Caenorhabditis elegans: one gene and its partner. The protein of the gene in region 1 interacts with the protein of each later gene in a pairwise test. Each region holds a gene or a part of one and is shown in the gene's direction. Other genes may lie near its edges.

Region 1 (7,479 bases):
AACTTGAGAACAGATTGACAATAAGGTTTGATAAATGACCAGGAACGTCTAGTACGAATCGGTTTTTTTTGGAATGAGCAATTTACAGTTGAAATGATTTTTGATGCATTTTCTTTCCGAAATATTAAAGATCCTCCATTTCAAAATTAGGAATTGGAAAGAAAAAGTGTTGCATAAGTGTTAAAATTTTGCAGAATGATCTTCACAAACCATATGTTAAACATGGAACGGGAAAATGTTTGGGGGCTCTCGGAGCAAGTAGTCATCATCCACTTGACATTGTTCTCTTGGATTGACACACTTCACACTCAATGATAGGTGAGTGTGGGAAGAGTAGAATAGAGATGGTTTTAGGGTGGAAGAAATGGTTTTTCGGAATTTTTACTCAAAAAAATTATGCTATCAATCTGGCAGCGTATTTTCCCAGTAAGTAGCGCAAACAATTTTTGCAATTAATAATTTAATAGTACTGTATTTTTTGCTCGTTTATTATATGAGACTCCTAAAACAATTGGCGTTTTCTAATACAATACGAGAATACGTTGCTGAGATAAAATGTAAGATCAAAATTAGATCAAGAAAACTGAAATGATATATTTATACTACCGTATATTTTCTATTAGTATTGCACATATAAGTTGTTATAACTACTTAGATTTCAAAGATTATATTTCGGCTCATTTAGGAGATAAAAAAAACAAAGTTCATTCTTTAAAAAATTCAGAAAATAGGCGGTAGGCGGTTAGGTTCGCCTGAACACGTACCTGCCTACTTGGCAAGCCCCAGAGAAAACGATAAAAATACGTGAGTTTGTGATAAAACATAATATCACTTTGGAATGTTTCACTGGCGGATTCGGAAGGAAAAGACTAGAGAAGGGAATCGAATCACCAAACAGACACTAATCATGTGTGCACACACGATGACCCCCCTCCCATCTCAGGTGTATGAGTCTCAGGCGTGTGTCTTCTCCTGTTTCGCTTTTGTTAACATTACGTAACAGGAGCACACAATTAGAGCATATGTGCAATTATGTTCACACCTTTTATATCGTATAAAACAATGGTGTCGAGTGAATAGAACACGGGGACAGGTCACCTTGATGTACTTAAATGGACTAGAAAATATTGGTTCGCATTGTTTTCAAACAAGAAATCAGGTATCTTGTCAAAAAAAAGTTCTAAACAAAATAAATAATCTATCCAAAAATATATTTCATAAGCTACAATATTCTAGAGTGATACATTGTACATTACTGAACTTTCTCCAATTACAGCAAAACTTCAATGCTTCTTGCCTGCCTGCCTAGAAGCCTACCTACGACCTATTGTTTGAATTTTGGCGTGAATTATGTTGTTTGTTGTTTGCACTGTTTAGTTTTATGTTGCTTGAACTCATTTAAGTTTCGAACATTGAATTCAAACGTGAAAAATGTTTTTGTGTAGTTATGAAGTAGGCACAAATTAGACGTAGGCCACCTTGAAGGCAGGCGCGAGCTTTTGTGCCTACATCTGATGTTTACTAGATTAATTTTGAAGTGCTTGAGTGACAATTTTAGAAAATATTCATTCATGTGCATATGCATCTTTAAAAATCGTATTAAAACTCGTAAAAAATTTTGCGACCAGAAAATAAAAATTAAAGAATTTTATAAAATGTGTTTTCTTTTTGGTTGCGACCTGCTATACTTCGTCTTGATCTTTGGTTGATCTGTCAAGGGATAAAATATTCAGATGATTGTAGTTGAAGCCTGTGATTATCTGAAACAAAAATCACCCAGTTTCATTCTTGAACAACTTTCAGTATCCTACCTCATAGCTTGATTTTCGAAAAATGAAGGGCTTATCCCACAACACTTTTGCTTCAACTTCTCGAAAATCTGGATTTCTTCTTGATTTATCATTATCAGAAAACCGAATGATCGTCAGTTTTTCAAAATTCGTTGCCACATAAAAATCCTTCTCATATATAAATTCCAAATTTGGACGACGCTGCATAAGTGGATCGAATTCACAGGAAAAATCAAATTTTGTGCTGAAATCCCACGTATCTGCCACATGAATGTACCCCGATCTATCGGCAGAGATGAGACGATGTCCATCGGCAGATATTCTGGAATTTATGAGATTTAGAATACCTTCAATTTAAAGTTTTGAAAATAAAGTACTTTAGTCCATAAATTTGTGATTTGTGAAGAGATTTCTCAGCAATTGCTCCACGTGTGCTCCGAATATCAAATAGTCCAATTGTTCCATCTCGTCGTCCTGCATATAAGTAATGATGTTTTGATGGATACCACTGTACAACATCAATTGGTTCATCATTCCAATATATCGATTGAGGTAGATCCATTCCGACTCTGAAATGATATTTATTTTGAAATATAAAATGTTAATTAATTTTAATTAAATTTTAAATTTTGAAATAATTCATAAAAATTTAAGACAAGAGGTTCGACCAGGGGAAATTGTAAGACCAAAGTTTTAGAAAGTTAGGCAGTCATAACAAAATATAGCTCTTGTTCAATACAAGATCCACTAGCCTTCAGGCACGTAGGCAGGCATTTCGTGGAACTTTTAAAGCTTACCTAAAATCTATAATTTTCATTGATCTCCCTCCATCTGCCACGGCAACTTTTGAATTTGTCATATTATACTCATTCCAATCAAAATAAACATCTCCTTCAAATTGTTTCCCATGAACCACTTTTTCCATGGTACTATCACAAACTCGCATCCAATTTGATGCTGTTGTAACCATGAAAAGGCGAAGATCGATTGGACACCATTTTATTGTTTTCAGAGATTGCTTCGCAAGTTTTCTGAAATCTTGATAAATTTTAGAATTATTGCGGTTGTTACATACAGAGTCATAGGTTTCTTCCACTTTTTACGATCCAAGTATTTATATTTGGCAACTGACACTGAACCACTATGAGATCCAAATAGTAGCCTGAAAAATCAATTTTTTTTAAACAAACTCCTAATTAAACCAACATTTGGTCACCATCATCTATATCAATCGCACTAATATCTTCTTGATGGCCTTTCCCCGTCTGATCACAACCCATAGGAATATGTTTTGTCCATCGAAAATTCAAAAGAGCCCGTGAAACTTGTTGTTCTTCGAAAACTCGGCGTTTTCTGCAAAAAATTTCAAATATAACTCAAATTTTAAAAAAAATTAGTACAGTAAGAAAATCTAGGCCTGTAAATTCATAAAAGTTTAAAGTCGTTGCGGGACCCGTCTGGTTTTCTGACTCTTGCGCCTTGAAAAAATTGCGGTACTGTCATTTATTTTCTTTATTTGCGCATTTTAACATTAAATTTCTCTATTTTTCTCGTTTGTTTTAAATTTTAATTATGCATTTGCACTTTTTTTTCAAAATTATTACGAAATTCACATAAAAACCGCAAAACTCACTTCAAATCACAGCTGAACATGTACTCCTCGTGACGAACAGTCATTTTCCTGTTGAGAAATTATAGAAACATGCGAATAAATATATTACGATTAAATAAAAAGCTCAAACGTTGCTGTTAATTTGAATATCCTCCTTAAAACAGCCAATGGCCTAGAGTCCACCAAACAAGTTCATTCTCGGCCGCACCGGTTTTCCGTTATTTACCGGGCACTGATTCATCTGTTTCCAGACCGGTTGCAAAATTAGTTTGATAAAAATTTCAATTTCCACAAGGAAATATTTAGTTCAGAAATAGTAACAAAAGTAAAAAAGGTGCAGAAGTGTAAACAAACGGGCGAGAACACGTGGTTTTATCGATTTTTGCTTTAAACATCTGCATTCCGTCCTCTAAACTTTATGTGTCATTTATTGGCATTCAATTTGATTTTCTTTCAGATTTTCAGCCATTATGGCTGCAATAATCAATCAACGCGTCGAACAGGGCGAATCAAGTATGGGAGGAGCCAAACCAGGTTGGTGAATTGAAAACGAACCATTTGATTTCCATAACCTGTGTAATTTTCGAATTTATTTTAATTTTCAGCTCTTCTTCACAGAATCACTGGCCACGTGGCTCGTATCAATGACGTCATTTTACTATCAAAAGACGAAGGAGTCTGGACTGCAAGTGATGATAGATCCGTTCGCCTGTACTTAAAAAGAGATAATGATCAATTTTGGCCGTCAATTCATCATTTCATGCCAGTTGCTCCAACAAGTCTTTATTACAGTGAAGAAACTTATAAGTTAGTTTAAAGTTTAAATCGTTTTATTTTTTAAATTTTTAATTTTTTTATTCAGGCTGCTCGTCGGACTTATCAATGGAAATGTCTATGAATTCAGTGTTGCCGATGACTTTAACAGTATGACAGAATCCCGAAAATGGACATGTCACGCTGGACCAATCTCTGGACTCGGCTTTGCACTCTCCTCCGAGCTCATTTTCAGCTGTTCTCGAGATAAATCTATCGTCTGGCATTGTTCAGAAAATTCAAATAAGATGGGAAGTTATCTTTTGGAAAATAGTTGTACAGCAATGGTCATTGATCTTCCATTTGTATTCGTTGGAGATCATGGTGGGCATGTCACTGTTCTTCGTATTGTCGATAATCAACCAAATCTTGTCAGCAAGCTTAGTGCACATACGAGTGAGTTTTTATCGTATTCTTTTTTTTTGAGTAAAATATTAATTCGAAATTTTAAATGCTATCGTGCCTAGGAAAAATATTTGTTAAGTATAACATTCCAGTATTTCCTGAAATTCCCCACAATCAATACAATTAGTAATTGTGGTTTGAATTAGTTCAATGATTTTTCAGATGCAATCACCTCGCTCACATGGGACGGAAATAAGAAAGTTTTGTATTCTGGAAGCAGTGATCATCTCATCATAATGTGGGATATCGGAGGAGGAAGAGGAGAAGCTTATGAGCTTAAGTGAGTGTATATTTCTGGAATTTACGTGATATTTCGAAAGTGTTGATGTTTTTCGAGCGCAAAAGTTGAATTATATTTAGTTGAAATAGATTTTTCCAAATTAAAAAATGTTTTTTTCAGCGGACACAATGGAAAAGTGACAACACTATGCGCAGCTCCAGCAGCCAAACGTCTGTTCTCGGCTGACGAACACGGAAAGCTCATGTGCTGGGACATGAATTGCAAGAGAGTTGAGACTCCTGAATGGAAAACTTCGGATTGCTGTCAGAAATGCAATCAACCGTTCTTCTGGAATCTTCAAGCAATGTGGCAGAGGAAAGTGGTCGGATTGAGACAACATCACTGCAGAACCTGTGGATCAGCAGTCTGTGGATCTTGCTGTGACAACTGGACCACCTATCCACCAATGGGATATGAGACGAAAATTCGCATTTGTAATGACTGCAATGCACGAATGAAAGATAATCCACAGAATTTCAAGTAAGTTGTAAAGCAAATGACTGATGAAACTTATTTTCAATTTTAGCCTTACTCCACTTGCAATTCCACATGAAATCCATACTGGAATCACTGCTATGCATCTCCAGGAAACTCTCGGACTTCTAGTTACCAGTGGACAGAATCGTGTGATTATGATTTGGGATGTTCGAAGTGTTTGCTCTGCCCCTTCTGGATCACAATAAACAATTGCTTCTACTTCTCGAATTTCTCATAATTCTTTGTATTTCATCTAATTTATTTCCTCTCCTTTCTATTTTGTATATTCACTCTCAAAATGCCCATCCTTCCCCAAGACCAATTGTTGTCAAATCAAGACCTTCTAAAACTTACCAATATTTCCCGATACCCCTGACAGGTTGTCCTGAATAGTGATTGTGATTCTTACTTTTCTTCTAATCCCGATAATTTCCTAGTTTTTCGACTGTAAAATTGTATTTTTACAACAAAGTTTGAAAAAAAATCTTTTTTTTTGAAGTTTTTGGACAGAACGACTAGAAATTATTTCAAAAGAATGCATGCCGGGAGAGTAGGTGAGGTTGGTGACACTGGATGAAGGAGAAAGCTCACAGGAAGTACACAAAATAGCTGAGTTTTTGATGTTTATAAGAACGCTACGCGAAATTATGACTACGGGGAAAATTAAAAAATTGAGGAGAAATTATCAACATCCGCAAGCTCCTGCGCTGCTGTTTTGAGGGAAACTTCTTTCGGATAGGCACACGGATTGTGACCTCATAATACCAGTTTTAAGGCCTTCCCAGCCATCCACGGGCCGCAGTTCTCCGTCGTCGACTCGATTTTGAATCTAAAAATTTGAAAATTACATCATAAAATTGAAACATTTTCAAAAAAACCTCTTGTGCAATCATATGAAAAGCTTCATTAACATTGTCTCCTGTTCTCGACGACGTCTCGATAAACTTCATTTTATGGTACTTGGCAAAGTACTCGCCTTCCTCATAGTTTACCTGAAAGCTTTTAACCAATTTTTTAAACACAACTTTTGTTCAAAAATTACCTGTCGCTGTGAATCCATATCACTTTTTGTTCCGACTAATTGGAAGACACACTTCGATGGGCTTGGACCACCCAAATTTAATGCTGCTTCTTTAACCCAATTTTCAACATGCTCAAAACTTTCTCGATTCGTTGTGTCGTAGATTGCAAGGACTCCAACAGAATTCCGATAGTAGGATTTTGTAATTGATCTAAAAATATTTTTTTTAATCAGCTAATATTCTTTTTAAAAAAATCCACATACCTGAATTTTTCCTGTCCTGCTGTATCCCATAGTTGCAATTTAACACGATATCCAGGCCTCAACTCAATCATCCTTGCATAAAAGTCTACTCCGACAGTTGGGTCGCTGATTTCGGCCATTTTTCCTTCTGTGAAGTACCGTAAAAGACTAGATTTGCCAACTGTTGAATCCCCAATAACGATAAGACGATATTGGTAGTGAAAGAGCGGTCCATAGTCGTCACCAATGAAGTTTGTTTCCATTTTGTCTAAAAAATGATATATTGTTGAGCGTTTCCAATAGAGAATGATGCAATTATTATAAGAAAATAAATTTAAAGTTATCCGAGCAACAATTATCAATAAATATTACTTTTTTAAATGAAAACCTTTTTAATTTCAGCAGAAATCTTAGAAATCAGATGATCAATAAATAAAAACGGCTGACTTTTTAAAGGCGCATAGAATTTTCTTGGTGGCGGGTCCCGCACCGAAGAGCCGTTTTCTAAATAATATACACTAATGATTATTTTTATTAAATTTTTTCACGGTTTTCGAGAGTATTCTTTATATAAATTCAATTTTAAAGCATTCTCGTCGAGTTTGAATCCGAAATTATCGATTTTCGTTTTTCTCTGCTTTCTCTACCGCTGTTTTCTCTCCTCCGCTGTCTTCGCAAGATTATAGAGCTCTTTTGAATCAATTTGTTTCATGTTTCCGCTTTTGACGTTATTTTAAACATATACTGATATAAATAAATTAAGAATAGAGTAGAAAATCTAGTTCAAGTAAAGATGCAACATTTCTTTCTGCAAAATTTCTCGAAAACACCTGTTTTC
Region 2 (7,579 bases), on another chromosome or scaffold:
AAAAGTGCACTTTGCAGCACAGAAACATTCGAAACTTTTTTCGGGTCTCTTCGATAAAGTACATGCTAGAGAACTCGAGAGAAGTAGACGCAGACATATGTTCTCTTTTTTCGCAACATTTCGAAATTTGAAGAGAAAAAAACCGACGACATTTAACTCGAAAATGTGTGCAAATACTTTTTCTGTTCTTCAAATATTTTGGGAAAGTAACAAGTATTTGTCTATTGAGACTAGAACTTTTAGGTAACACCAAACTGTATAATTGAGATAATAATAAGAAGATTACCATAATTTGAATATCTACCTTCAAATGAAAAACCAGTTGGCATTGATTTACATAATCTGTTGATGGACGCGAAAACTTCCGAAGAGTTGTGCTGAAGAACAATTAAATACATCTGAAAGGAATGTGTTGGGTGATACCGGTAAACGTCCAAAGTTCGAGTCTTGGTAAATTAAAAAAGCAATCCTCTCGCAGAGACGAGTTTTCACATCATATCGTCTTTCGTTTTCGATGATAATCAATATCTCTGCTTGTGACAGTCCTAGCAAGTCTAGCGATTCCGAGCACTGTGCTTTTAAGAGGAGTTGGTAGCCGTCCAACATAATGCAGAGGGTTTTGAAATAGACGATCTCTCCTGAAAGATGTTCCAGATGGCAAGACCTCAGAAGGACTGAAATTCGCAACAAGGGATTTTATTCATCACTTAATGCAGGATCACGAAAATATTGAAATTCGAGTTCAAAGTCGACTCGTGCCAGCTCATTCAAATCCTATCATAACTAGTATGAAGAATTTGCGAAACAACATACACCAGGATGAAGACAACATGTATCAAGTATTTCGACGACAACTCGTTTTCAGGTATATCTTTAGAGATTGGGAGAAGCGGAATATGGATAGGTCAGGGAATAAACGACAACAACAAGTAACAGCAACAATCGGTTTTCCGCCTATTATGTGAAGGGGTTGGGAATAATCAAAAAAATTTTAAAAAAGAAAATGGAAAATTAATAATTTCAAAAATTGGCAAATTAATAAGTGGTCCATCGATACTGCTTAAGCCTCATCGTCACTGAAGTCTGACACATCATCACCGTCCTCTCCTGGGAAATCGAACATATCGTCTGATTGAAGTTCTCCAGTGTAGAAAAGAACAGCACGTGGAATGATGGTATCACGGATAGCTTGTCCCATCTCGTAGTCGAGCTCAAGGAACTCCTCTGCCTGTTCATCGTCCTCATCTTCATTTCTCTCGTCCTTGCTCTTTGGTGGCTCGAAGAAGTTGAAGAAACTATCTGCTTTCACAGTTTTGGTGAGGAACTTTCCAGCATTAGCTCCCTTCTTTTGCTTCTTCTTGACAGCCTTCTTGGTGACGTTCTTGCCGTCTTCCCACTCAATAGTATCTCCGACAGCGCGGATGACATGTGGTCCATCGAATTGGAGTGGTGCCTCCGCATCTGGGTCGAAACCGAGCAAGTAGGTCTTGGTAAGAACTTGGTTTTTGAAGTATGGGTTGGTGGCAAAGTGGAACTCGATTTTGAAACCCTGAAGTTCAAAACATTAACTTTCGAAAACAATGAAATGCGCTTACGGCTGGATCCTTGCTAGCGGCGGTCGTCACATCAGTGAGATATGAGAGGATTGGTACGTCATGCTCCTCGATGGCTTCAGCAACAAGATCATGGGTTCTGAGAGCGGTGAGCCAGAAATCCTTGATCCCCTTTGCTGATGGGTCAGCCTCCGCAGCTTTGTACAATTCCTGAAACAAAGAAATGTCAACTAATAAGCTGGAATTGTCATAGCCATATCATCGCGCAAGAAACACAATCCAGGAGCGGGAATAAAGGACATGTTTTATTTCGCAACGAAAAAAGGCGTGCCCCACGGGAGGCAAATCTCTTGAATAGTTGCAGGCTATATAGGGAATCTTGATTAGGAACTTACAGCGAGTTGATCTCCCTCGAGTCCTTCGAGGATTGGAGTGTCGATTTGTTCTTTAGTTGGCTCGACCTCTCCCGCGACAATAGCCTTTCTTTGATCGAAAGTGGATTTGAACTTTCCTTCAAACTCGATCTCGAGCTCGTGAACACGTTTGTAGAAGTCAGATTCAATCTGAAATAAATTATATACTTAAGAACATAAACAAAGAAAACTAACCTGAATTGTCTTCATTTGAAGGTTTTTGAGAGCGCAGACGCGTTGCTTGACATTGAGAGGCAAAGCCTGAATCATGTCGAAGTTGGTGCTGAGAAGTCCAGCGTCAATATGCTCTTGATCAGCCATTTTATTACCTACAAAGCATAAATAGATGATTTTGGCATACTCTTTCAAGCAAAAAAATACGATGATTTTCGAAAATTCGAGAAAAAATCTGTAAAATTATTGTGAAACGAAGCAGTGCTGTCTAAAATCATAGGACGAGAGTTGAAAATATATTTTCCAAACAACCACTTCGCTCCTCCTCCATAAAATGTCTCTTCGCGGTGAGACCCGCGGTTAAAGGCGCACACAAGCTTATTATTTACGAGATGGTCTTTCATGCCTATATTATTTTTTATCAATGTTTTCATATTGTCGTTTGTTTTCTGGTTTGTTTTGGTGATTTACATATAATAATTGTATTGATTTTTATTTATAAAAGTATGGATTTGTTATGATAGTAAATTCTCCTGAAATTTGATTGCATTTGAAACTAATTGTAGGCACTTTTTTTTTTAAATAAACAGTTTTTTGCGTTTCAAATTCTAAAATTTGATAGCTCTTCAAATAACCCACATCTTGGAATCATATTTCTCGTTTTCTCGATTCTCTCGAAGTTCCTTAAGCTATTAGAATATTACACATAGCATTCGACGCCAGATGTTCCCCCGTTCAGCACAAAACTTCTCACTTTACTTTAAATATTTTCAACTTCCGAAAATCTTAGCGAGTTTTCAAATTCATTGTTATTTTCAGGGAAAAATGACGACGTCCTCAGAAAATATGCAAATTATGAATGGCGTGGAAGTGCCACCGTTCAGAAATTTTCACGAGTTTCTGCTGGAAACCGATCGATACGAGGTAGGCTTGAATTGTTATTACATATATTTTTAAAGAAGGGCCAACTTTTGTAGAAAATATATTTACATATGTTGAAGTTTGACTAAAGTGGTCGTTTAAAATTTTTACTTAGAGTTTAATTTAAAAATAATCGAGTTTTTTATTTCAATATTCAAAAGATAAAAATCCAATTGATTGATTTTCAGCGTCCACCATTTAACGACTTCAAGAAATGGAACAATCGAATAATCTCGAATCTTCTGTACTTTCAAACCAACTACTTTGTTACAATCATCACTTTATTCCTTCTGCACACGTTCATCAGTAGCCAGGACATTTTCGTCGGTCTTATCGCCGTTGTCGCCGTAATTGCAACTCTAATCTTTGCTGTCTCGGCTGATGCAAATATCAAAAAGGTAATGATTGACGGGAATGTGATGTTTTTATATTGATAAGAAATTCGAATTGTTGACGGAATTGATAGGTACAAAGTTTTATTGGAATTTGGAATTCAAAATTAGTTTAAGTTCAAGTTTCAGATGCAAAACGCAGCAGCATAAAATTAAGCCATGTCCACCGTAAAAAATAAAAAGAGCTCGTTTTTACCGTTTACCTGAATAGGATAAGTTAACATATGTTTCACGTAACAGTTTGTGCACTTCGTTGATGAAAATTATTGTTGTGATAATCGTTTTTTTGCAAGTTAAAGCTAAAAAAATAATTGAAAAATATAGATTAAAACATGATGGCACATAAAATTGGTCCAAAAACAATTACTGAAACCAAGAATTACCAAAAAAAAATCAAGTTTTAAGATGCGCACGGATCATCCATTGGTCACTCTTGGAGGAATAATTCTCGTTGCCTATTTCTTCATTTCTGTCTTCCAATCCGTTCTTGTGGTTGCCTTTGCGTAAGTTTTATAAAAAATTACTAATGTTGTAAAACTGTTTTCATAAGTGGACAATATTCTTATTTAATGTAAATTTGTCGCAGTTATAAATGGACTTAATAATCAAATATAACTGTAAAAAATAAAATTCTTAATGTGTTTTTTTTTTAATTTTGCTGAAATTAAAACAAAGATATATTTATTTTTGAACTCCTTGAAAGCCGGAAAATCGCTAAAATTTTCAAAATTGACTTGAAAATCTAGAATCACATATATTTTTTTGCGAAAAGCTGTCTGAAAAAATATGGTTATTACAGTCCATCACCAAACGGCTCTACGTCACCTTTAAATAAAATTACCTAATAATCAAAAGTTAAAAAACCCTTTATATAAATGATTAATAAAATAAGTGAAAGAGGAAGTTTGAAAGATAGAAACAACTACACATTTCTCGATTTTTTGGTGTGTTCTATGCATAAAATATGAGAAAATCTGTGCTAAAGTTCAGAACAACAGGAACATAACACACCAAGACAAGTTTCTTAATGAATTTTCTAACAGGATCATGCTCCATTTATAATTTTGTATAAATTTCAGCTTGCTGTTCCCAGTATTCCTGGTTCTTGTTCACGCATCTCTTCGTCTTCGTGGTATTGCTAACCGTGCCGCAAATGTGAAGGAACAGCTAGGAATCCGTACAAGTGTCATGGGACAAATTCTCGACAGAACTGGACTCAATGTGAAAGTGTAGATATCAATTCAATTCCCCCCAGCCAACTTGACATATTCTTCTCATGTTTCAACTCATCCTTCTCCCAATTTTGCCTCAAAATTAACCAAATTTTTACGTTCCACAATTTTTTAATGTATAATTATTTATTGTTCTCCGCTCAATCATTTTCCCCCCATAAATCCATGTTTGTCAATTCAAATAGTATTCGTAATAATGGTTTCTTTGGAAAACAGAAAAAATCATTTATTAGCTATACAAAAACATTATGGGAAGTAGCGAGGAAGTTTGTCGGCGTCTGAAATTTTAACATTTCAAAAAAAACTTAATTACTTTACTCACCAACTGCAACCGAACGGATTTTCTTCTTATTTTGAACGCGTTGCCAGAATGGTTCTGTGAAACGAACATTTGAACCAACAAGACTTAGCAATGGTGATCTCTTATTGATGATTTCGAACTGAAATTTGAAAATTAGTTTTTTAATTTTCAAAAGAAATTGGAAGTTTCGTAGAGAATACACTTCACGCGAGCAGAACGCCCTTGCCTTCCAGGCGGCCTACGATTGAATTGTGCCTTCACGCGTGCCTAATGCTCAAGTTAAAGTACATGGGATACTTTTAAACCATATTTTCTATCTTCTTATTGATGAGATTCAACTGAAATTAGAATTCTTGCTTCAATAGGAATGGGGATTTTCACAGGATAGCAAAAATGCGTGCCTTCTAGGCGGCCTACCATCGCCTTCTGCCTACACTCCTGTCTACTGCAATTTCTAATTTATCTCTAAAATACTTAGTTGCACTTTCAAAAAATATCTGCAAGTAGAAATACGCATATCAATCCTGTGCAAAAACTGGGGTTCAAGCCAAAATTCAGAACAGGTAGGCAGGCTCGTAGGTAAACAGTCAAGAGAAATGACTACCTGAGCTACATTAGAGAAAATCGCATATCTTCAAAATGTTCTGAAAACCCTGAAAACTCACTTCATCAGGGTCCTGGAACGAATATAGCAATTGCTTTTCAAGCCCAAACAATGGCTGACTGGAAACAATTCCGAGAATAAGGACGAGAAGCCAAGCTGCGATTGATGTGGAGTTCATTCTCTGAAGAAATTGAAATTATGAATCAAGGTATGGGAAAGTAGAAGAAGAGGGGAAAATGGGCGGAGTCAACGAAGAGTTTTGATGTCAAGTACGTTGAAAGAGAATATTGAGGTGGAAAGAGGATTTGTAGGGATGAAGCTGATGTTTCTGATTTTAGAAAAGATAAGCACTTCGTCACAAGGTGCGTGGAGCGAGTAAGAAGGATAAAATCGAAGTTATAGAGATTTTAGAATAATTGAAAAATGTGAGTTAGTACATTGAGAGACGCACTAGAAGAAATTCGGCAATAAATTTGCATAACTAGAGAATCACAAGTAAATATTTATTTTGGGTTATGGTAAACTGGGAACTTCCTCAAGTGTTTATCTAAAAGTGAATGGATTGGTTTTGATGGGTCCCTTTGCGGAAAAAATGCACACTCTTTGGTATTTTCCATTTAATTTGCCGAGGCTTCACAGCGGGCACAAAAAACAGGCTCAAAAATTTCGAATTTGTCTTACAGTTTTTTGGAAATACGTCAAGTTTTTCAGTTTCATTTTTAATTGTGATTTTAAAATTTTTTTTGAAAGGGCGACTGCCGGAAAAAAACATTTTTCTAGTGGCTATCTCTCGAATAAATTCAAAATTGAGAGAACGGCACTAATTTTAGAAAATGTGTATATAATGCAAATTTTGTGGAAATTTCAGGTTTTGTTGGTAAACACGAGAGACTCAAACTCAAAATAAGCCCTCGAAAAAGATAAATTACATGGTAGGCAGGTATGCTTTCAGGGGTCCGGAAAACAAGATAACGTATTTTACTGGTCAAAAGAAAATAATAAAGACATCTGGGTGATCAAAAAGTTCAATAACAATCACATCATTTGTAAATGAAAACATAACCTAAGCGTCAAGAAGAGGGCTTAAAAGAAGGTTTATCTCAAATCGAGAGCTGCTCTTTGGAACATCATGAGTTTAGAATGATTTTTTAAAGTGAAATGGTTAATCTTTAAGAAAAGATCTTTCAAACATCATTTTTCAGAATATAAAATCCATAACATGACTAAACTACTAAATCGAATTTATTAAGGAACCTATGCTCAACCTATCCGCCCCTTACAACAATTATATTTCCTGCATAAACCCACGCTCGTTATCACCTACTAAATTGTTTTCCAAGAAACTCCCAAACAAAGACAGAAATGATTGAAACAAGATCTATGAGACAGACTTATTAATCAACTTTACCAATAGAACAAGTGACTAAAAATAAATGTTTGTGAACTGGAGTAAAGAATACTAATTTTGATGACAAGGGAATAATGTTGGAACACCAAAAATGTTGAGAGGAAGTGACGATTAGAATATCTAAATCAAAATTATTGTGACGTAGTTGTGTGTGCAGGACAAAACAACACTAAATAATATATGTAAGGACCAGGAGAACAACAAATTTCATGTAAATGTGTGATTTGGTTCTGATCGAAAAAAGTAACTACTGCCGAAATAGAAAAAATTAATAATATGCCAAAACCAAGCACCGAAATTTATGCCAAAACAAGGTCCGGTAGGTAGAAAAGTAGGCAGGCAGGCATGAAAAAAGCATATACGCCTGAACCCGAGCCTGGAGGCTACTTTAACAGTTCACGAGTTACTTCAAAATCCATTTTTGTTTTTCATAGTTTTTTTTTTCATATTTTCATAGCCTTTATAAATTTTTTTCAAATTGACCCCTTATTCAAAACTTAACTCAATAAATGTCAAATGTATAATTTTAAATAAAAACCTAATGGTTTCCAACTTATAAGTATTAGCTAAACAGTAAATAA

The links.
Region 2: the proteins of wdfy-2 (region 1) and praf-3 interact in a two-hybrid assay, tested with the Caenorhabditis elegans proteins (2 studies listed by BioGRID).

The regions. Positions count from the first base shown.
Region 1 is NC_003280.10:9,316,006-9,323,484, forward strand, and holds wdfy-2 (WD repeat and FYVE domain-containing protein 2), read left to right. Parts: upstream 1-3,859; 5' UTR 3,860-3,872; coding exon 3,873-3,936; intron 3,937-4,007; coding exon 4,008-4,209; intron 4,210-4,264; coding exon 4,265-4,611; intron 4,612-4,782; coding exon 4,783-4,900; intron 4,901-5,020; coding exon 5,021-5,380; intron 5,381-5,426; coding exon 5,427-5,583; 3' UTR 5,584-5,873; downstream 5,874-7,479. Other genes in the region: csa-1 (WD_REPEATS_REGION domain-containing protein), read right to left, coding at 1,683-1,760, 1,812-2,112, 2,168-2,359, 2,588-2,821, 2,866-2,952, 2,997-3,143, 3,424-3,467; Ras-related protein rab-39, read right to left, coding at 6,063-6,206, 6,256-6,369, 6,420-6,609, 6,663-6,904. UniProt on the Caenorhabditis elegans protein: Plays a role in coelomocyte endocytosis.
Region 2 is NC_003282.8:8,377,025-8,384,603, forward strand, and holds praf-3 (PRA1 family protein), read left to right. Parts: upstream 1-2,959; 5' UTR 2,960-2,965; coding exon 2,966-3,064; intron 3,065-3,249; coding exon 3,250-3,459; intron 3,460-3,851; exon of another isoform or gene 3,852-3,858; coding exon 3,859-3,956; intron 3,957-4,532; coding exon 4,533-4,686; 3' UTR 4,687-4,861; downstream 4,862-7,579. Other genes in the region: D2096.7 (ELYS domain-containing protein), read right to left, coding at 287-377, 424-606; nap-1 (Nucleosome assembly protein 1-like 1), read right to left, coding at 1,061-1,549, 1,596-1,763, 1,949-2,116, 2,162-2,287; nssp-44 (Neuropeptide-Like Protein), read right to left, coding at 4,932-4,963, 5,008-5,125, 5,652-5,768.